2 linked regions of the Styela clava genome follow. The protein of the gene in region 1 binds, or shares a complex with, the protein of each later gene. Links are inferred from orthologs where the notes say so. Each region holds a gene or a part of one and is shown on either strand. Other genes may lie near its edges.

What was found.
Region 2: the proteins of protein unc-80 homolog (region 1) and sodium leak channel NALCN-like are in contact, whole or in part, in a cryo-EM structure (PDB 7SX3), measured with the Homo sapiens proteins. The link is inferred for Styela clava from reciprocal best matches to the Homo sapiens genes UNC80 and NALCN. Residues at the interface, in NP_115893.1 of Homo sapiens: Lys1979, Asn2004, Glu2005, Cys2006, Asp2007, Leu2128, Arg2129, Leu2130, Pro2131, Pro2134, Arg2135, Ile2138, Asp2139, Phe2142, Phe2145, Ser2146, Glu2179, Asp2184, Glu2185, Met2187, Leu2188, Asn2191, Asn2194, Ile2198, Leu2199, Glu2202, Ser2226, Leu2227, Ser2228, Gln2231; in NP_001337678.1 of Homo sapiens: Asn639, Met643, Val644, Ile646, Lys648, Leu649, Pro650, Phe653, Val655, Pro656, Lys657, Ile658, Arg659, Glu660, Phe662, Met663, Lys664, Gln665, Phe666, Ile667, Arg669, Val711, Ser713, Arg715, Ala716, Arg717, Leu719, Lys722, Glu723, Ala725.

What each region holds. Positions count from the first base shown.
Region 1 is NC_135251.1:23,383,714-23,395,189, forward strand, and holds the start of protein unc-80 homolog, read left to right. Parts: upstream 1-6,078; 5' UTR 6,079-6,138; coding exon 6,139-6,233; intron 6,234-6,655; coding exon 6,656-6,704; intron 6,705-6,786; coding exon 6,787-6,943; intron 6,944-10,112; coding exon 10,113-10,320; intron 10,321-10,521; coding exon 10,522-10,671; intron 10,672-11,449; coding exon 11,450-11,476. UniProt on the Homo sapiens protein: Auxiliary subunit of the NALCN sodium channel complex, a voltage-gated ion channel responsible for the resting Na(+) permeability that controls neuronal excitability.
Region 2 is NC_135251.1:29,475,778-29,487,113, reverse strand, and holds the start of sodium leak channel NALCN-like, read left to right. Parts: upstream 1-5,774; 5' UTR 5,775-6,105; coding exon 6,106-6,144; intron 6,145-8,252; coding exon 8,253-8,435; intron 8,436-8,795; coding exon 8,796-8,879; intron 8,880-9,181; coding exon 9,182-9,345; intron 9,346-9,896; coding exon 9,897-10,025; intron 10,026-10,886; coding exon 10,887-11,026; intron 11,027-11,336. UniProt on the Homo sapiens protein: Voltage-gated ion channel responsible for the resting Na(+) permeability that controls neuronal excitability. NALCN channel functions as a multi-protein complex, which consists at least of NALCN, NALF1, UNC79 and UNC80.

The sequences.
Region 1 (11,476 bases):
TCTTATAAGTCTGACTCTGTGGTGCAATTCGCTTTGGTAGTAGTTGAGTTAAAGTGCTATATAGTTTTAGTTTGTACTGTGTTTAATTAGTATTTTAAAGTAATAGATAGTTTTCTGTTTTTTAGGTTGTCAAAATGATATTTGGCTTTCGCTGTTTGGAAAGTAGCTGGTGTATGTTTGCGTCATGCCTGGAACTGAAAATAAATTCGTAGTGATTCAAACTGTTACTTGGCTATACGGTGTGATATTGTTAGAGTATTCCGATATAATTCATTATTTGGCCTGGACCAATGTGATAGAGCATTGAATCACCTAGTGATTTTGCCGGCTTTCGTCGCACAGGTAGTGCTGGATCATGGCCTTCAGACGCCCTAAGCACTTAAGACATTGGTGGTGCCCTATGTGTAAAATAATAATGACTGGCGTGTTCCATGTTATCTGAAATTGAATAATTAGGTTTCTGTATTCATTATTGATTGAAGGCCAAATTATGACTAATTTGATTGATATTTTTAGCAAATAGTTTTCATAACTAGAAACATTTATCTATAGGCTTAAGATGATACTTGAGAAAGAAAAATAAGCAAAATTAATTTGAACTTGGCCAATATTGAGGTCTGAATCGTCTATCCAATTGTTTCATTAAACACTGAGACAATATTGAAAATTTCTGTGGTGGCACCTTTTTCTTGCTGCTACGAGCATGTGCTTCTTGGTTAATTCAGTCTTGCCTACAACTTGCTTTTTATACGCCTGCAAATCCGTCTGCACAACAAACTCTTGTGTTGAAGTTACGGTCAAATGCTAGTTAAACGTTCAACGACTGGTGATTTTTAATAGTATTAAATAACGGACAAATGCTATTTAAACGTTTGACGACTGACGCTTTTTGACAGTATTGAAGTAACAGTGGAATGCTATTTAAGCGTTTAACAACCGACTCTTTTCAACAGTATTGCAGTTACGTTGAAATGCTATTTAAAAGTTCAACAACTTACGCTTTTTGACAGCATTGAAGTTACAGTGAAATGTAACAGTATTCATTACTGATTGACGGCCAAATTATGATTAATTTGCATGATATTTTTAGAAAATAGTTCTCCTGCCTTACAAACATTTGTTGAGGTTTACGAGGATATTTGAGAACGAAAAACATGCAAAAATTTATTATATCTGAACGGCAATATTGGAATTCTAGTAGTCAAACCAACTCGAATTATTTCATTGAACAGTGAGGCATCATTGAAAATTCGGCTATGAAAATTTATGTGGTGCTCGTGATTATCAGCTTATTTGTTAATCATCTCCCTGGACATAGGTCTGATTTAGATTTTTATGTATCTTAAAGTAAACCACTTCATCACCTATGCCCAATCAGTGTAGTTTTTCACGGCTTTTGACTGTCCTCGTCAGTGTCATCACATTGCATCCAACATGTTATCTTTGTATCAGATTGAATTGGTCCTAATTAGCTTATAGGTATATTAAAATGTTAGCACCTGAAAGTTCAATACACTCACGCACTTTTTGTGTGTTTATTTCTGATCCAAGCTTTGGATTTTTTGTAATTTTTTCTCACGTTTTAACCTTTTTAGGGTTTTACTCGCTCTCCAGAATTCTCTATTTTATTCTGTGTGTATTATGGAGTTTTCAAAATAAGCTGTATATATCTAAGCCAATGCTGGTTATCAAGCAGCGAAACTCGTGATTAAGTCTAAAATTGATTGAAGAAGGAATAGAAAAGGGACGAACAATTAATATTTGAAAAGTTTTATGTCAAAGAATCTAATCCGTTACAAACAAAGAACCCGATTACCGATAAATTAACCACAACCATGGGTAACAGCCAAGAATCCACATGGTAGGATTAATACAATTTGCGTGGAAGTGCTGTTCAATAACATTGTTTGGACCTCCTGAAGTATGCGCACCAAGATGGCGCACAACCTGAACTCAGGTTGTGTACCAGGTTAGGGTTCAGGTTATGCGACATCTTGGTGCGCATACTTCAGGAGTACCCATTGTTTTGATTGCTGTGAAGGGCGCGGCGTTCTGACAGAAGCCGAGTCCGAACCGGATATACATAACAAGACAGTTAATAGGCAATCCATTATGAAGTATATAAGCAGTGACAAGGTGGCATTTTTAGTGGAAGTATGCAAAAAGCAGGACGTCACAATACAGATACCTAAAATGTATACAAGATATATTCTTCGAGTGTAGCCAACGTAAGTGCTCAATTGAATTCTGCGATGTTCTGCCTCCCGATAGGTAGACTAATTGCCTGATTATCGAAGCGTCGCCTTTAAATTCACGCGCGGTGGGTATGCTTATAATCCAAATTAACATACATGAATCAGGTTTTTGGGGGATTATTGACAAGCCTTGTGTATTGGCTATATTTTACAGGTGTTGCAGTCCAGTCTCAAAAACGTCGATAAATCTGATCTTAAATACAAACACGGCAGCCAGATCAGAGAAGTCTTATTACTGTTAGGTTGACTTGCATTCAGTGGTGCTGTTTGCATTTTTCTTCTGAGCGCGACAAAAAGCGCATTTTATGAACACGAAACTCATTTAAAATTACACCATACAATGGGCATTATCAAAAATAAATAACTGTAGGCTATTTTAAATAATAAAAAAGTGCAATATTTGAACCATATAATCTCACCCTAACGGAACCGTACTTCGATTGAATTTCTGTAGTTTAATGTAATATAAAAATTGGTTGAAAGCTGTCGTAGTAGATTCGTTGACGAAAGGGAACAAGCGCAAGTCCAATTTGAGCAATATTTCTAATTGCTATAATACCAAGTATGTCTTTGTAATCATACGATGAGGAAATCCATACAACTCAAATACAGGGGGACTATATATATATTATGTTTTCATTTATCATTTTATTTATCAATTTGTTTTTAAAAGTACTAATAAATGCTGTCAGGTTGGTTAATGTAGCTAGCTAGCGTATTCCCACGCCATAGTATAATGTAGACGTATAGAAGAATAACAATCGATCACGCATCATTCTAATCTGCTAAAGTTTTGTGTATCTTTATATGCCCATGGAAGGGCATATCTGAAAACGCAATTTTTGATGAGGTTTATGTAATATTCATTATATATATACCCAAAGGTGACAGATGAATCGTCCTAAACGACTTCAATTTAGAACATTTCCTATCTTATTTACTAAATAGGAGAATGTGTAATGCATTTGCGACAGATAAGAAAACGAAAGGCCGTTACCAGTCAATAAGTTTCTTTTCTCTTCTGTGCGGCATGATTTATTTGATCGAGCATCTGTAATTCAATTAGCAATGAAAAACGAGACAAACAGAGGGAATTGGAAAATAAGGTTCCAGCAATTGGTTTGGTATCGACCCGCTCTAATCATGTCTCGCGCCTGAAGGAATTTTCTTTCGAGACACGTCGCTCAACGTAAACGAAGGCTCGTGACATACGGCCCCAGAAGGCGACCAAGGTAAATGAAGATGGACGGGCGAAAAATCTGTGCGCAGCCATATATTATCGACCCTAATTGCGAGCGAAATTGAAAAAAAGGAAGAATACCGTTTGCATAATTGAGTACCCAATACACAAAATTGATAGAAAGAAAACGTTAAGGCTAAGATGCAGTGTAGAAGACGCCTGGAAGTAGATAAGATTTTTAGCGTGAGCCTAGTGCGATTCTAATGCTACAATCGCAAAAATATTACTACAGTTCAATACGTAGTGTACTGGGAAAAGGATGCAGTCGATCCCCTGGCTTCTGGAAAGCCTCCCTGTGTATATTTGGTGTTATGATTGAAAACAACAACGTTAACATATAATTCTATTTTACAATATGCGCAAAAATATAAATTCAATTGTAATATTTTAATTCCCTGAGATTCACGTTGAGCCGCCAGAGATTCCGTCCAATTTTGATCTAGAAAGGATTTGATGAGCAAGACCACCTGTCGAGCGAATACTAAAAACGAATACTACAACATTATATTTTTAATTGGCCAACTTAATAGATGCTGTCAGACGAACCAATAGGCAACCGACTTTGACTTATACATATATATATATAGTTGCATGTCGAAATACTTGGTACCAGACTGTTTCTCTAATCGAGTTATTTATTTGTTGTATATTGTATCACAACCTATAGGTAGAAAAAGAATACCAGTAGAATGACTATATTATATTGATCAAAGGTGGTCTCCAGTTAATCTATTGAATTCTCTAGATATAGAATTTAGTGGGGGCCAAGTAGCATAAAATAGGCGCAGGCAAGGCGAGATTTCGCATGCTACAGGAACTGACAAATTTGTCCACTTTCGAAATTATAATATATGACACGGTTTTCATTTTTGTGATACAATTTTATCAACGACATTACTACGATAGTTTTAATCTTTTGACAATTATTCTGATAGTGTGATGCGACATTTATTTTAGTTGATACGGATAGTCAGGAACACTAACAAACACTCATGTGAAACTGATGATAACATATAGATCGCATGCCAATTGAAATGAGTGGAACTGCCAAATATTTATTGATTGTATTTTTAAAGTATGTATGAGAAGTATTTGAGTTGCTATTCTGCTTCAATTAATCAAGTTATATTTTGAGACGTAAACATGGAGATTTTACTTGCTTTTTTGTTTTAATAAGTTCTCATTCGAGACAGCGTAGAATTTATACCTGTCATTACAGTTTAGCGTGAATCCGATACGACTACTGTTGGGATTGACTGGAAATTAATATTTTATATGCCGTCAATCTTTCATGCAGACGTGATGTAAAATATGTCGTCGCCCTGCTGTACTACGCATAAATCCCCGCAAAGCGTGCATAATTAAATAAACGAACAAAGAATATGTGCCGTACCTGTTTATAGGTACACATGTTTCTGTAATCCCAATACCTTTTTGGGAATTATGCAAATTTTTTCGTTGCGATAAGATTTTGGTTTTGTAAGATTCGTCAGTTGCGAGAGGACACGCAGCTTTTTGGGTTCCATACCAACTCGAAATAGAAAATGGTTGTCCGACGCCATGTGAATGCTTGGCACTATAACGGTTCCGAATTTGATCAAAAGCATTTTTTAGTTCAATTTAAATTAAACTTGATGGTAAGGCCCACCCAACTCGCAACTCTAATTTGACATATACCATGTTTAACTCTGGTAGTAAACAAATGAAAAATTTGGCGAAGTTGATATATTAAGTTACCTCTGTATATGCCGCTACAGCGTGGGTTTACCCGTTTTCATTCCAAATTTGTTATTATTTGCCTGATAATATTATTTTCCTCTTCTATCATTTGGACTTTGAGTTATTTGCGTAAAGCTGTAGTCGGGGACATTATTTGACTCGATTTTCTACCAAACTAACTTTATTCAGTAGAACGATATAGATGGAAAATTGCGCGTTGTTCTTTCTTTCTGGTAGGTTTTCGGTGCGTATACTAGTTATTGATTGAAATGAACGATTTTCCTTGCTTCTAGTAAAGTTAACTCGGTTATGTAAGAATAAACGGAGAAAGGTTGAGTAATGACTTGACCCCACTTATACTAACCTTACATGGGACACAATTAAAGAAAACAGGATCGAAATGCAGTGGCTGGGGAAAACAAGATAGTACCGATAGCTCCACTCCACTTAGTATATTTCAAATGAATTGTTGATCAAGTTTACGTTTAAGGTAGGATGGTGTCATGTAATTTACGTTTCTTGAAAAATAGTTAACATTAGACACTGGTATAGTGCAGACATCAACGATGAATAGAATGAAGCAAATCAACGGCAAGCATATATAGCACTGAATAGAAGAATTATAGAATTTCAGATTGACCAGCACATTTTCATATACGTCAAGGCATGACCATACCTATCGAAATTTTATGGATATTAGTCATGGGTATAAAATAGACGAGGGAAAAGTCAGTGTCGCAATTGGAAAATGGTGGATAGGCTTCCATTCTCGTGTAGGATAATTTATTAATGACAATCAGCTAGCTAACAAAAAACTTTTTTATCATAAACAATAATTTTAAAAAATGGGATTTTCAAAGTGGAGTTGATTTTTTTCTTGCAAACAGAAGATAATATAATATTGTTTCGTTGTGAAAGTTCAAAATGGTGAAACGAAAATTTGATGATATTGTAATGCAAGGGCCTGAAACATCGTCCATACCTTTGGCTATCCAATCATTTTTATGGCGACAAACAGAGTAAGTAAATATTATTCTTTAAACCAAAGCATTGATTTACGAACAAATACATATAATAAATAATTAATATTGGAATCAAGAAATATAAATGAATATGCATATACAGTATATTTTATAAATTGTTCCTCCCGGTCGTACGGCAAAAGGCTTCGTACAAATGAAATTATTTGACTTTAAGGAAACTGAATTTCTAATTGTCATAGCCAAATGCTAAACTCTGGGTGGAATGTTGGACATATTATGTTGAATAACAGAATGATTACGAAGGCTCGAGATTTCTAACCTACAACGTTAAGGTGGTAGGAACTACGTGATAATGTTGTGGTTATTAATTGATATAAATAATGAGGTTCTACAACCAGACACTGCCGCAATATCAATATTTAGATTGCATCAAATTAACTGCATTTATATTTTAATAGACCCTTCTTTCGACAAAAGCTGGGAAAGCTATATGAAGCCTCGTGTGTGGTAAGTCAAAACATACTCCTTTTGAAAAAATCTAATCGCAAATTACTGTTCTTCCCATTAAATATATTTGGTTGTTTTCCAGCTATTTGAACATGTTCTAGTAGAAAACAAATTAAATGGACTTCCACCATCACTATACGAAGCTGTAACACGAACTCCTAGGCGTGTACTCATTGAAGCAGCCTTACCACATGTTATGCATTGTGCATCGGTGATGCTCAGCAACAGAAACAAATTGGGTATGAGAACGTTCATATTACGTCTTATACGTGACCTAGAAAGTGTGCATTATTACGATATATATGGCATCTAATGTATGTAACTCGATTATATTGGTTGGCATTGTATTCTTATTTGAATGAAGTATCGGTTTTAATGTTACTCCAGTTTGAATTGTTTGCCCAACGTGTCAGACGTTGAGAATAAATGACACTTGCCATCGTATCGCTGATTATCCAGCATGGGTTCGCAGGTTCGAATTCAGCGTTGGGTAATTAATATGCGCGAAGAGTCTCGTCTTAGTCCAAGGGCCTAGAACGCAATAGCAGTAAATTAACAATCAACTATTTCCATACCCGATCTGGACTGGCAGTCGCACGAGAGGCTGTGGTTCGCTATAAGTTTTGCTTTCATCTCTGAGATAAATTTAAAAATTTATCCTATACTGTTAAATATTTAGGAACATCGTCGATTGACTATTCTCATCAAAATCCATTAGACAAAATGGTGCAATAAGTATTAATATAATCTCTTTTTTGGTGGTGAAATAGTACAGCACTCAATTGATATTGATGAACTTGCGATTTAAGCTAGCGATGACGAGCCTTAGGCCGCAAACAAACTAAATTTGACTGTTGGTGAGCGCTAGATGCTTCCAGTCACTTCTTTCGTTTTTTTATTGGCCTTTGCTGCTGCCTTGGTTTCTTTCACACTATAATATACGCTAACGCGAATTTTTAATTGGAGACGTTTTTAATAAATCATGGAAAATCGCTTTCGGAAAGTGTGCTATCAATTAATGATAAGAGAAAGGCCTACTGTTTCTGAATAAACTGACGCACATGGCTAAAATATTACACGACCACAGCGGGCGCAAGCATATAGGTAAGACAATGGTCTTATTGAATGCCAGATGTATTTTCTCATATTCCGATATGTGATACGAGTTACCAGTGACGTTCAAATTATGTAGCTCTATGTGTAGAATATGGCTTTTGTTACAAACATTAAACCATAAGGATAGTTTAGAGTTTAAGCCACAAACAAAATTAAATTTGAATAGCCTAAAATTTAAAAGAAAATACATCTGACATTCGATAAAACCATCGTCTTACCTATGCTTGCGCCCGCTGTGGTCATGTAATTTAAGCCATGTGCGTCAGTTTATCCAGAAACAGTTGGCCTTTTTCTTATCATTAATTGATATCACACTATCCGAAAGTGATTCGCGTTAGCGCATATTGTAATATGAGCATTCCTATAATTATCCAAATACCAAATTATCCTACCTAATTCAGACTTGATTGAATTGCGTATTGAATTTTTTATGACTTTCTGGTACTTGGGTATTTCGTCATAGTATTTCGCGATAGCTCTTTACCATTCAATTTATATGAATAATCGTTATTTTTTTCGACCAAAGAGAAAACATGGAATAAATCTTTTATTCAGATGATATAGATCCTTTGAGAACATCCAAATTGCGAGTGGGTTCATTACGCAACATTAATTACTTTCGCTATATTGATAACCTATGGTCTCATCAAAAAATGAACTAACGTAGAAATGAAAATGATAGAACTATCGAATCAATCAATTCTCCTTTAATCGATCGAACGTCGGAGTGACTTGTGAGCCCAATTATAGATGAATTCAAGCCATATTACCTTGGCGTACTTCAATAACGCAATATGCTTTTTCCATCCAATACATCTTAGAGGTTGATTTATCGCTTTTTTATAAAGTGAAATTTTAATTCTGGTTAGCAAATTTTCTGGAGCGACTTTGTAGCAGAAATCGATTTTTTATCTATTTTATTTTTAGCCTTCACTGTTAAAAATAGAGCCACATTACAGTTAATTTATAGTTGTTCAGATTCACAACTAATTGGTTACTGTGTTGAAATACCTAAAATGAGATTTATTTTGTTTCATTTTTAACAGCGTACGTCGAAAACAAATCAAATAAAAATCGATCTCTTAGGCTGCAAGGTTTGATGTAAATTGCAGTCAAATAGGCTATCAAAAATGGAAATAATTCTTGAACACTATAGAAAAATGGAACTCTGCAAGAATTCGACTTGTACAGTTCTTACAATAACTAAAATAAGTAATTTCCGTCGAACATATTACATTTCACTTAAATTGTGGTAATTTTATGGCAGACAATAAATATGAAGATTGAAAACTTATATAAAAGGATGTGGATTTTTGATATTTTTTTTACTCCTATCTTGAAAATTGTAACCTAATCCTTCTTCCCGCTATCGCAGCATGGAAACTGAACTTTTCGAATAATTTTATTGCTCGAATCTCGCGAAGAAAGGCAACTTAGATTAAACATATTTCTCATTTTTTATGTGTTGAGATTGAACGAGCCTATGTTCGAAATGGCCTATGTTCGAAAAACATTCGTTTTTTATAGTCTAAACTTTGAAGGTCTGAATAATTATATTCAAGTGTCCCTCCAAGGACACCAATTAAATATTAAATAAATACAGTTCAGTGTGATATCCCAAGGGAGTATGTGTACCAAATTTTGTCAGTTATAAAATCAATTTTCTATTCTGGCTTTCAAATCTTGATTTATATTATTTTTGGAATCCTAAATCTTGGCCAAGAAACAATTCTAACGTTGATATGTAGAACGTTGAATCTGCATATAATATATATAATTTTTGCATTTAGACCAATATTCTATCATAATTTTACTATTTTCATGTTTTCTCCATATTATGCTTTAGAGTTCAAGTACCCTCTATGGAACTTTACTGTTTATAACGTGAACGTATTGTTTATACTTGTGAAATTCTACTGACCAATGAATATAGCGTTTTGAAGTATGGGGTGAATAGACTGCTCAGTCATGGATTAAAATATTATAAGCTGTTCTGAAATATATATATATATACATTTGAAAAATTGAAACTAGCTTCGAAGATGTATTTTATTATTGTATGAATTATGTATTACAGCTCACGTATATTTTTCATAGGCACATTAAGATTGATTGGGGTTTTTATCCGTCAATTCAAATCGCGTTTTTAAAGACCAACAGGAGCTTAACAAGGTCAAGCTCGAATGCATTACCATACAAATGTAGTCAATAGTCTTTTAACTAAGTTTAGGTATTCAAATCAAAATACTGCTATTTGTAATATTGACTTGCAACACTGTTTAATTTTTACAGGCCATGCGGACATACTTGGCGTTGCAGCAACCAAACTGCTGCACACATTTCACAGCATACTTTATGAAAGCATGGACACAGCTCAGGAGGCTAACGACGATACGGGACTTCGTGCTGGGGTTATTTCAAATATCCAACTTTTCGTATTTTTATTTGCTCCTCTTGCCAACACAGTGAAAGAATCAGATTTGAAGTTTCGATTAGCAAGGTAAAATGTTGCTTTTAATTGTCGCACAAACCGAGGATGTATAAGCCTTCCCCCGCGAGTAAAACACAAGATCGCTAATCCCGTTTTCAAGATAAAATAAACAGTTTTATTCCCGGGCATTTATTGCATCTGATTTGCTACTACTTCCTTGTCCTTCCATACATTTTTCTTGTATTTTCATAACTGAAAATCATTTTTTAGTGGAATAAAAACATGGGAAGCCTTGTGGAATCATGAAATACCAGATATACGTGCTATGAATTCTACGGTCAAACCCACGGTATGTAACGACAAACATTCAAGAGGAAATAGCACGTCAAAAGAAAACTGTGACGATGGTGATTCAGATAAGTGAGGAATATGTTTTCCTATTATATATTTAATAACTGAAGTATCGTGAGCTCGGTGGGTAGTGACTTTTGTGCTGCAAATTGCAATAGCGAGTCGAAGATTTTTGATTCTATTCTTGGCATATATATTTTTTTCTTCAATTAAAGCTAGGTATCTCCGACCCTCAAAATAATATCTATATTTCACTATTAAAAATTTTTTGATGCTTATTTCAATAGCGTTTTTGTGAGTGATCGCTTATAAGCTGGAGTATACTTTCATAGAGGAACTTGTGGATATTGTGTATTGGACTGCAGGTCCTTTCTCTTTGATTACTTTCTACTATTTTTACTTATACTTTCATAGCTAACATTCTGATTCAAAATATTGAACCACCTACTATTTAAAAGTACTGATACCTAATTTAGGTTTAATCTATTACATATTTTTGCGACTCATATTTGATTACTACAACTAAACCAAATCTCATCGCACGACAAAATTATCATTAGTTTAATTGATTTATACCTAACTATATTTATACTTCGAAAGCCATGACAACGAGCTAATGTTTGAAACCATGCAGAAATTTGTCTGATACAATAAAATTGTCTGAGCGGCCACCAAAATTTCAGTTGTTACGTCACCTTTGACATCTTGCTGATTAGAGTATGTTACGAAAGTAACTAAGGAAGTCGATTCTCTGGAAAACATCCATTGATATTAAATTAGGGCATAAAATGTATACCTACTCAGGGTTGCTCAATTTCCAATCTATTACACTCCATGCTTTTTACAGTGATGTCTTCATGATGCCAGCGTCTTC
Region 2 (11,336 bases), about 6.1 Mb from region 1:
GAGTGAGATTTTTATTTGACCCTTTGATCACTGCAGTGGAACTGTTCATAGGAGCAGAATCTTCAGAATATTCGAATCGCGGGATTCGATAACGGTATTCTGTTTACACCTCTTCACAGGCTTGTCCATGGGACATATTTTTCTGTCCCATTACCATCCCATGAGATTCCCAGTGGAATACAATTCAATAAAAATTGTTAAATTTAGGTTTAGCGTCTACTAAATAGGACTACATGTACGAAGAGACATACAAAACAACAAAATTTACAGGCTTCGTCAACTTTATATTCATAAATATTATAAATGTGTCCATCAGCCCCTTCACGGAGTATATATATTGTTAATGGACAAGCCTGCCTCTTCAGAACTGTGCGGCGACTTCTACATTTTGCTTTAATTACCAATCAGATACCAGCGTCTTCTCTGGCATTACACACCTCGATTGCCCCGTTTGCTAGAGAAGCTCGCGTGTAGGTACAGCGGACACAGAACAATATATATGGAATGGATTCCTAATGGTGAAGTGTGTTGCACGGTGACCGTACATTTGAACCCATGTACATTTGAACCCATGCGTATATCCACGGGTTCAATCTATACTCGGGTGCTAAAACCCATGGGTTAGGGTTAGTATGGGTTTAACTATCCGTGAAACAAAAAAAATTCCATAGGTGCAATAGCATACAGGTGCAATCGTCATGGGTTCAAATGTAATGGAACCGTGTTGCACGCTTTGCGTTTTCAGCAAAGATTTACGATATAATCATTATTACATCTCAGTTACAAATAATCTTAATAATGTACAATTTCTTCAAAACTGATTGCGTCATCGCAAATTTATCTCTTGTTGCGTTTAATTCAAAGGAATATCATTAACTGTATTGGTAAGGAAGGTCCCAATAAATGTGAAAAATAAATAAAGTAACAAGATTGCTGATTATGAAAATTTGACAATGATAAATTCTGAATCAGTTTCCGGTAAAAATATCATATTGTTCACGATTTTATTGCAAAATCGTCTATTCAGTGTGCGCAGATAAAATCACGTGAATTTGCTTTGTAACCATTGTGGCGTAAAATGTTAAAACTATCACGTCAAACGTCACGCTGCGGTTAACCGGTTAATTTTACCCGGTTATCGATTATAGTGTTTTCCCTGAAATTCCCAGCCCTAACCATATAGTAATATTGCACACCGAAATGCGGTCTCATCACCAATATTCTATAAATTATATTTTATGCCGAAATTGGATGCGTTAGTTGGCCATACCTTGTAATACACTTTGTCACATAGCTAAATTCGCATCAAATTCCGCTCGACATAATGTGGCGCGAAGAGTTATTTCCCGTACGACAGTAATTTCTGATGTATGTGATCCTGCTTGCAAGCCAGACAATCTCATAAAATATTGCTAATTTGCATATGGATAATGGCTGTCGTGATGCCTGAAAATAAAATGACGTTTGTAATGAATATGACTTGTCCGAGTCGTACTTTGGGTTTGTTCATTTGGGCGCAAAAATGCAACTACTTTATTTTCAATATGTCGTCTGTTTGTGGTTTATGCAGAGGGTTCTTGGATCTTCAGCAGTCATTTTTTATTTTGTGAATTGTTTTAACTCACTATATCTGAGTAATTGCCTACAGCACAGACCAGCAGATTAATTCAGTTAATTCTGGTCTCATCTTGGCGAAACAAGTTCGGTCTGAATTTTCGATGGGTTAGACGCCTGTGGTGGTCATCGTCTAAAGATGAAAGTATAGGGGAGTTAGACACTATTCTGCGTGTTCTTCTCCAGTACTATTTGACGTACTCTAGTGGAGTAAACCCCAACTGAACTCAAATAAGCAAACAATAGCCTGTAATGCCAAATGTTCGTATATATATTGTATTGTGGGTAGCACGATCGAATTGGTCCAAATATCAGATAGTGAAGTACACTTAAAATCTTAAATTATATGTCATGAAACCAAATTCTCACTAGCCAAAAACGATTAACAAAGACAAGCAACACTGGGAGAGGGTGGAAATATACGAATTCAACTTTTTTGCCTAAAACGTCGTATGAAAACAATCCTATTGGAAACAAGAGAACTATGCTCGAATATATGGACACGTAGCGCCACCCAGTGGCAATAATTTTGATGACGTCATAGCGAAAAAAAAAGTAATAGCCTTCTGGAGAAAAATTTTATCTTTAACCACTGAAAATATCAAAGCAATTGGTCCAGTATTCGAAGAGAAAAGCGATTTTTTAAAAATGTAGACGGAGACAAATAACAATAACAACAAGAGAGCTATGCTCAAATATATGGACACGTAGAGTCACATAATTTTGATGACGTCATAGCGAAAAAAAAAGTAATAGCCTTCTGGAGAAAATTTTTATCTTTAACCACTAAAAATTTCAAAGCAATTGGTCCAGTATTCGAAGAGAAAAGCGACTTTTTAAAAACGTGTCAAAGAACAACAAGAACAAGAACAACAACAACATAATATTGAAACGATCGTTATGTCCACTACGTGTCCAACAAGAGAGCAATGCTCAAATATATAGACACGCAGAACAATTCCCCAAAAATCATATGCGGTGACCAACGACTAACATACCGGCGGTGACTTACCAGTACCTGTATCGGGGTACCGTGACGGTACAGGGACTGTCATAGATATTTTAGGTCCTGTGACAATTGAAACATCACATCAGTTGAAATATCTCGTGATATGAGTCAATTATGTACCGTATTATCGGATCAGGTATCGAACCACAGTCAAACATTTCACATAAAAACGTTACTAAATAACATGCGTCAACTTAACACCAGCCGAATCGGGGTACAATTTTTGGTACAGTGACTGTAATAGCCGTTTAGGGCTGATGGACAATTCGACTACACGGACAACTCACCAGGCCTAGGGTGGTGTAGCCAGTCTGCGGACAATTTCATTCAAACCGCTATAAAACAAAAACCAATATATCTAACCCGTTAATTTTTTCACCGTGGGTGCATTGGCGGCATTCATTCTACACGCTAAAGCTCGTATTAACTTTCTACGACAAAGGGTTAAAGCTATACAAATCCCCAAAGTACGGCACTCGAAAGACGTATTTGCGACCGAACGACCAGTGTGCGACCACGGATTTCAAGCCTTGATCATCGTTTCTGCTGCGTCGAGACTATCGCTTACGCAGCCATACAGCAATCAAACAGACAAAACACGGTGGTTGTAAATTGGTTGACAAAGATATTATAGGATAGGATTTACATATTTACCCCGGGGGAGAGGAAAGTCGATAAGACGGCTTATCCATATGGCGAACCACGGCCTCTCGTCCGGTTACCATTCCAAGTCGGGTAAGGGATTAGTTTTACTGTATATTTTGTTTTCGGAAGCATGGACTTGGTGGTGGAGGAAGCCGTAACCGACCAGCGGTTACGTGAACCACCCAACGACGGCGAGGAGTCCAGCAATCCTCTCGCACATATCCATCCATGCATGGGATCCGAACCTGCGAACCCACGCAGAGTAATTAGAGGTGCGGTGGCGAGCGTATTCCTAACGCTTAGCCCGTTGAGCCACACCGCCGCGCCATCGATCGCCATTATCGACGTATTAGGATAGGATTTACATATTTATCCCGGGGGAGAGAAGTAACTATCAAAGATGGTTAACACAACTCTACCCACCTGCCAAGTTTCATCTTTTTATCTCTTATATTTGTATGGATTTTCAAGCTTTTGACAGCTACGAGTTAGTTCAGTGTCACCGCGCTGTGTTACGGTACCAGAACCACTCTATCTTTAGAAGTTCCTGTCCTGTGACAGCGTGAAAATATTGGGCTTCTAATTGCATTTCTGGCCGTCATATATTTCAAGAACACGGTTATTTCGAACAAAACTCGTTAAATTATAAACAAAGCACCACATCACAGCAATCAAACAGACGAAAACACGGTGGCCGCAAATTGGTTGACAAAGATATTATCGACGTATCGGAAATGCACACCCCCTATTCCCCCTCCTTCAAATGTAGAAACGCGAAACTTTCAAATATGGTTAAAAGAAACACAATTCTACCCACCTGCCAAGTTTCATCTTTTTATTTCTCATATTTGTATGGATTTTCAAGCTTTTGACAGCTACGAGTTAGTTCAGTGTCACCGCGCTGTGTTACGGTACCAGAACCTCTCTATCTTTAGAAGGTCCTGTCTTGTGACAGCGTGAATTGAAATTGCAAGATGGTCCGTTGGACACAAAATGGCGTCCGAGATCCGTAAAACGTTTAGTGACGTCATAGCAAACCAAAACAAATCTTACAGAGCTAACAGAAATATTTGAAATAAATAAAAGTAATAGCCTTCTGGAGAAAAATTTTATCTTTAACCACTGAAAATTTCAAAGCAATTGGTCCAGTATTCGAAGAGAAAAGCGACTTTTTAAAAACGTGTCAAAGAACAAGAACAACAACAACATAATATTGAAACGATCGTTATGTCCACTTCGTGTCCAATAACAACAAGACAGCTACGCACAAATATATGGACACGTTAGACCAGAGCGAATCAGTCCTTACCGGTACCTTTGACGCTACCGGTACCCTCAAAAAAGTTCTGAATTTCCAGTAGCAAGAATTTTGCAGAATCAAAACGTACAGCCAGTCATGACACTGACTAAAATCCGTGTTCCCATGGATAAAAAATAATACAGCAAAATTTTAGACGAAATATCAAATTTCATAGAATTCACGCAAAATTTTGAAATAAATAAAAGTAATAGCCTTCTAGCGAAAAAATTAATCTTTAACCACTGAAAATTTCAAAGCAATTGGTCCAGTATTCGAAGAGAAAAGCGACTTTTTAAAAACGTGTCAAAGAACAAGAACAACAACAACATAATATTGAAACGATCGTTATGTCCACTTCGTGTCCAACAAGGGAGCAAAAGCTGAAATACATGGATAAGGATGCCGAAACGAAGTAGTGCATGAAAAAAGAAACTATTATCAATAAGTGTTTAAAAGTACTGAAATAGATAGTAACTACCTAATGTATTTGCTACAAAATGTATGATGAATGTATATTATTTATTTATCTAATTGAGAAAGTCGTCAATTTTTACAACAAATATCTCGACTTACTTGTATTGTCCTTTTCAAATATCAGTTGTGTTTTTGAAACTATCAATTAATTCAAAGCATTATTACAATTTTCTCTATTTCCAGCACATAGTCAGGCAAAATATTGAAATTTTTGGTGTCGTCAAAATAATATTATCAATCTTTCGAAATTGAACTACTATGTTTCAGCATTTTCGGGAGGCACAAAAAACACATGACTTATGCGAATTTTCATCTATTAGTTACCGAAGGTTTTGCAACTGAGCAAATCCAAAACGATCAATGTGGTAATGTTGTGAAACCTCTACCTTGCGTTCAGTTTGGAAATATACTGACCCAGTGGTAAGAGTCAAAACTTTAGCTAAGGGTTATCTTCTGTATTGAATTCACGCATTAACATAACACGCTTTAAATAGATCTAATACATAACCACATAAACATACATAACATACGTAAACGCCGAATGTAACGCTAATTGTCAGCTGCGGCGCACGTAATCTATATGCTTCGGTCGTCTAACGTCTAAAACAAAAATCAAGAACGGATTCGCGGGAACCCTCTCAATGCCACCACTGAATCAAATGCAAACGGGACATACTGGGCCTGATCAGTAAGTGAACCATGAAAACGTACGGTGTGGGGTATTGAAGCAATATTTTTGTTCATTTTGCGCCAAGAAATATTTATACGGAAAAGTTACATTTTTTAATAAAAAATATTGTTGCTGTGTGTGGCCTATCGTCTAATTAAGTTCATTAGTCATTAAACTCAAAACGAGAGAAAAGCAACGGAACAGTCGAAAAACAGTGTATTGGCTTTCAAAATTCTATTGATCGATCGATCGATCCCGTCTGTTTCGTCCCACGACGAATGGATAGACGTAGACCGTTCGCGCTCTATTGGATTTGCTGCTATATAGATCGTTTCTTTGTCAGCGTATTTGTGGGTTGCAACTTTTTTTAGGTAACGCAAAAACGAAAACAACATGAACGAAAACCTTCGAACCCACTGGATATACAGCAAGGTGAGTTTTAGCCTATTTAATCATAACTTTTTAGAATTTGCTATTCTCAGATTTGCCATACATTACATATCCTGCTGCTGATTGTATTTCATATTTCTGTATGTTGTTTGGTGCATTTTGTTACTGTAGCTTTAAATGCTTCGCGGAAGATAATCACATCACAGTATGGTTCGTGTAATGAATGGCCGATTGTTTGGATTCTAATTTTCTTCACGTTCAATAGCGTTGAACTATACCACGTTACTCTTATTGCCTAATCCAAGGATTTGAATCCCAAACTACTGGAATCCAATAGTGAAACCTTAACAAGGTCGATTTACACCTCTCTAAATGGCAATAAACGAATGCTAGACTATTCCAATTAAATTTTAAATTATTATCATCAAATATTGAATTCCGAATTCTTATTTAGGTCCGACACAACATAAATGTTAATCAAATCACTAAAATCCAACGGAATAGGAATTTTTATTATTGTTATCACAGTAAAGCAGATATAAAGAGAACATATGGCGTCTGTGATATGATTGAAATTTAAAACTATTTTTGCTTTTGAGAGAGAATTAGAAATCACCACAGTATTTATACTCATGAATTGTAGCTTGTACCTGGGCAGGCACAGAATTAATAGCAAATAGGAATGCAGTGAAATGGTTTTATGTGACTAATTTTTGTTATAAATACAGACTGGGTGTCGTCAGCGTGAGTGTTATTTGGCCCGCCAACACAAGTACGACAGATTCCGCCACTATCTGACAAGTATCTCTCCATGCAAGTATTAAGTCTTGTGCCATCGCTGACTTCGATGATTATTTTTTGCTCGCGAAGCAGAACTATTATATTAAATATTGTTCAACTACGGACAATGACGAATATTTTTGTCGCTCGCGAAACCTACGGTTCAGTCAGAAAAGCGCAATAGTCATTACGCGATCTTCTCTGTCAACGAGACACTGAAGATAATTATTTGAAGGAGTGAATCCACAACCCAGATTTTCAACTGCCAATAAAAAGGAGTATTAAGGCTGAAAAATAGTGTTATAAGGTATTCAAATCGACACTGGTTTAATTCATGACGACTTTTTTAGATCTCCCTTATATCTTCTCACAATTTAACCCCGCGACTTTGCGTATTGCGTATTGCGAAAGTATGAGCAATACTTTCATCAACGACACCTTTATAACGACTGAAATAATTTTTGGAATTCGCTCGCATTGTGCTAGCTTAGGAATTCAATAATACCACACACGTCAAAAACGAACTCCGGGATGTTGAGGTAAGGTTATACAAATTCTATTTTAGACACTACAAAACTCAAGAAACTCATAAGTTTCTCGTTAAACCCTGTTACGATTTAAACTGAAGATGAAGCACACAATTAATTACGTGCGCAATGTGTCCCCTTTTCGTATAACCATCGCAAAGTACATTTAAGTAAAACGTCTCCGACGGCGGCGCCCAGAATGCTTGCTGGTGTAAAATAAAATTTTATAATATTATAAACACTAGAAACGATTTTCGGACATCCGGGGTATTGCAATCGACTATTTGATTTGAATGCCCATACTTGTATAAGAATATACTTTGCACATATCAGTTTTATAAATATTGTGTTGCACTATTTTGCGTCATTGAATTACTAATTAAAACATGAACGGATTGATACACATAGTTTAATTCAATGACTGGCCGGCATTTGAAACAATGGCAATTTCGTCATGTACTTAATGTGTGATTATCATTCTTATATTTGTTCCGCAGGCATAAGTAATTTTCTGTGTGGAGCAGAAGACTTTTTTAACTATCTCGATGGTAATAAATAGCCAAACGTATTTATAGTGTGCATTGTGAATCTCCCGACTTTTGTTTTATTGTGTTCGCTGGGATTCTGTTTGCAGCAAAATGTGACATTGTACTTTGAATTATATTATTAATTGATTGTAGGTAATAGATTTGGTATTCTTATCATTTAAGTCATGGGCTTTAAAGAATCAATAAAACATACATAACATGGCTAAATATCAAGTGTAATTTCAAATACTAGTCTCCATAATCTTTCTATTCTGTATTTGCAATGACTTCTCATTCTCTTATGTGTATGTTTCAGAGTACTCGACGGTTTGTTGTCTCATGTGCATTGCTGAGTTTCGTATCTGTTTGTGCAAATACTCCAGAAACAATACAAGCTTATCCTGTCTTCAACTCAATCACTATATTTGCTGACATATTTGCTGGGATTGTTCTCTCTGTTGAAATGTTATTCAAAATATATTTGAAAGGAATGATAAAGGTGAAATTTCACACTGCTGAATGTCAGTTGTGTCAATGTATATTTAGTAGAATAATTAAATAAACAATGAAACAATGATGAAAACATAAATTTCTGATTTTCAAACCCTCATAACTTTTTATTGAAATACTTATGGTGAATATTGCTTCAAACTTTGATCAGATATGAGATTAAAGAACACCTATTTTCTTGTAATATCTCCAAATACAGATTTTTTCAAAATTTGCCTTTTTGTCCAGAAACCAAAGCATTATTTTAAAGGCGAAATCTTAATAATAATATTACAGCTTTTGGATGTTAAGCCTGATTGAACGTTCTTCATATCGTATAAGTATAACCAATCTCATTCTTTTATTTCAGGGTGATAAACCATACTTCAAAGATGTTTCTTGTGTGTTTGATTGTGTCGATACAATATTCATATGGATTTCAGTTATGGTGCAGGTACACAGGAATCGAATTTCATCCTTATTACCAGTATTTAATAATTAAACATGTTATTGACAATTGTTGTATATATTATATTTACCTTAGTATAATTGGTTAGAGCACAAAAATCATCTTAAATAATCTGCACAATATACAAACATCACTGTGATTTCAAGTTGAAATTTTCAACTTCCAAAATGTTTTAAGATGTATATTCGGAATATGGAGATAAACAAGTTGGCCCAGTCTTGACAATGACAACACTTAACTACTTGATGAATTCAGTTTTATCGAATGGATATTTGTTTATACTTCAGGCAGTAGAGTTATCCCAGCATGAGCATGAGCATGAGTATGAAGATCCGGAAATTGCTCCAATATTGCCACTTGGCTTATCTCGTGTACCACGCGCTCTTGTAATAATCAGAGCTTTCAGATATTTTCTGTCATCGGGAAGTGGTCAAGTGACCGCAATTGTGCTGTGAGTTGTTATATGCATTACTTTTTTCTATAATTTGATGTACAAGAAGGCCCTTCATATCAGAGTTTTGAAATTCTTAATGTTTTACACCATACTTCTCAAAGATAATGATTCAATTAAGACATTTTTTATTCAATGCTTATTTATTTTGTTTTTTCTGAACGTGGCCTTATACAAGCTTCCACTGATATCTAATGATGTGTGGAGAGCTGCTATTTTTTGAAAAACTGCTAATTCTCGGTTTATCAATGCCCACCCAATCTATTTCACCCTGGGTGAGGTGGTGGACACGGAAATTAAACCAGGAATGTGTGACCTGCAATGCTAACATAGTTAAGCCTAACGCTTTACCCACTATGCCATCATGTCCACCAAAATATGCAAAATTAAATATAGAAAATTTAGTGCAGAAAATGTGTATGTACACAAATAAACACCAAGTTTCTAAAATGGGAATCAGATTCCACTGTTTTTTTAAATTGGTTGGTTTGGATAAAAATTCGTAAAATATTAATCAATATTGAATGATTAAAAACTTTCTTACATTTCAGGCGGGCTAGTCAACATATTGCTGGGGTGACTCTGTTTTTGGTCTTCTTCATTTTATTGTATGGGATTCTTGGTGTTCAAATGTTTGGTGACTTTTCATATCATTGTGTAACAAAAGATACTGATCCTAGGTAAGTATGTAGGCTTGTGCATTCCAGAATAATATATGAAAAGGTAGATTTAGTATATTTCATTTTGGGTGATTTTATATCCTTTACACTCTTAGTTGTGCTCATTTTTCACACTAATCTATGCCAGTCCCCAGCCTTTGCCTCGGTTTTCAACTTATTTTGTTAATGAATATATTTATGGGATGAGCATACAAATAATAAAGTTGGATACTGTTGTAAAATGTCTGCTGCAGTATTACATCACAAAGTACAGTTTTAATTTCTGTACATCTCACACACACCCATTCATAAACAGTTGCCTCTCGCTGCAGTTCAAAGCGCAAAATCATGATAAAGCACATAAATGACATTCATCCATTATTCCCCTAGCCAGAAAAAAACTCCGGCTTGTAAGATTTCTATAGGTATCCCAGGGAAAAGAAAAGATGGCTTAATTATAATGACAAACCATGGCTTCTCGTCTGTTTACCAGTCCATGTCGTGTATGGAAATGGTTAACCAGTTGATTGTTTCAGATGCATGGAATTGATGGTGAAGGGAACCTTAACCGACTATCGCAGTTAGCTGAACCACCCTACGATTTCAAGGATTTTAATAATCTTCTCGCACATAATTATCTTCCCCAAGATTTGAACCTGCAAATCTCGCACAGGGTAATCACAGGTGGGAGGGCAGCTGTATTCCTAGTAATTGATATGACCCGCCAAACCTATTATCAGTTATTAACTTAATAATTTAGACAAGTTCAGATCAATATCTTTAGTCATCAACAATTTAGTATATGTGTTCATAGTAAATGTGAAATGTTTTGTCTAACAACAACTAATATATTATAACTTATGTGAATAAATATAATTGCAGAAATGTCACACTACAAAATCTAGCAATACCAGATACAACATGTTCGAAAAATGATAGCTCGCTCTGTCCAGAAAATATGACATGTATGCACATACATCTTTCAATGAAACAGACGGGATATGGAAGTTTCGATAACATAGGTATGAAGATGGATCAAACTATTTTTATGAAGTTCCTATTGTTATATTTTCCCCTCAAATAATCTTAGGGTTGTGAATTATTTCATCGTCACATGATAGCTCCTTTTCATTGAGATTTATAGCATTTATAATTTAGGATAATGCTCTGATAAATATTCATGTAGCTTATACAAAAGTTAAAAATTGGTCTTATTCTAACAAATCTACTTACTATTCCTGCAACATCATCTTTTAATGTACGCTATTACTAGTAATATAAATGAAATTATTATTAACAAAAAAATAATGGTAGTATCAAAACAATGATATA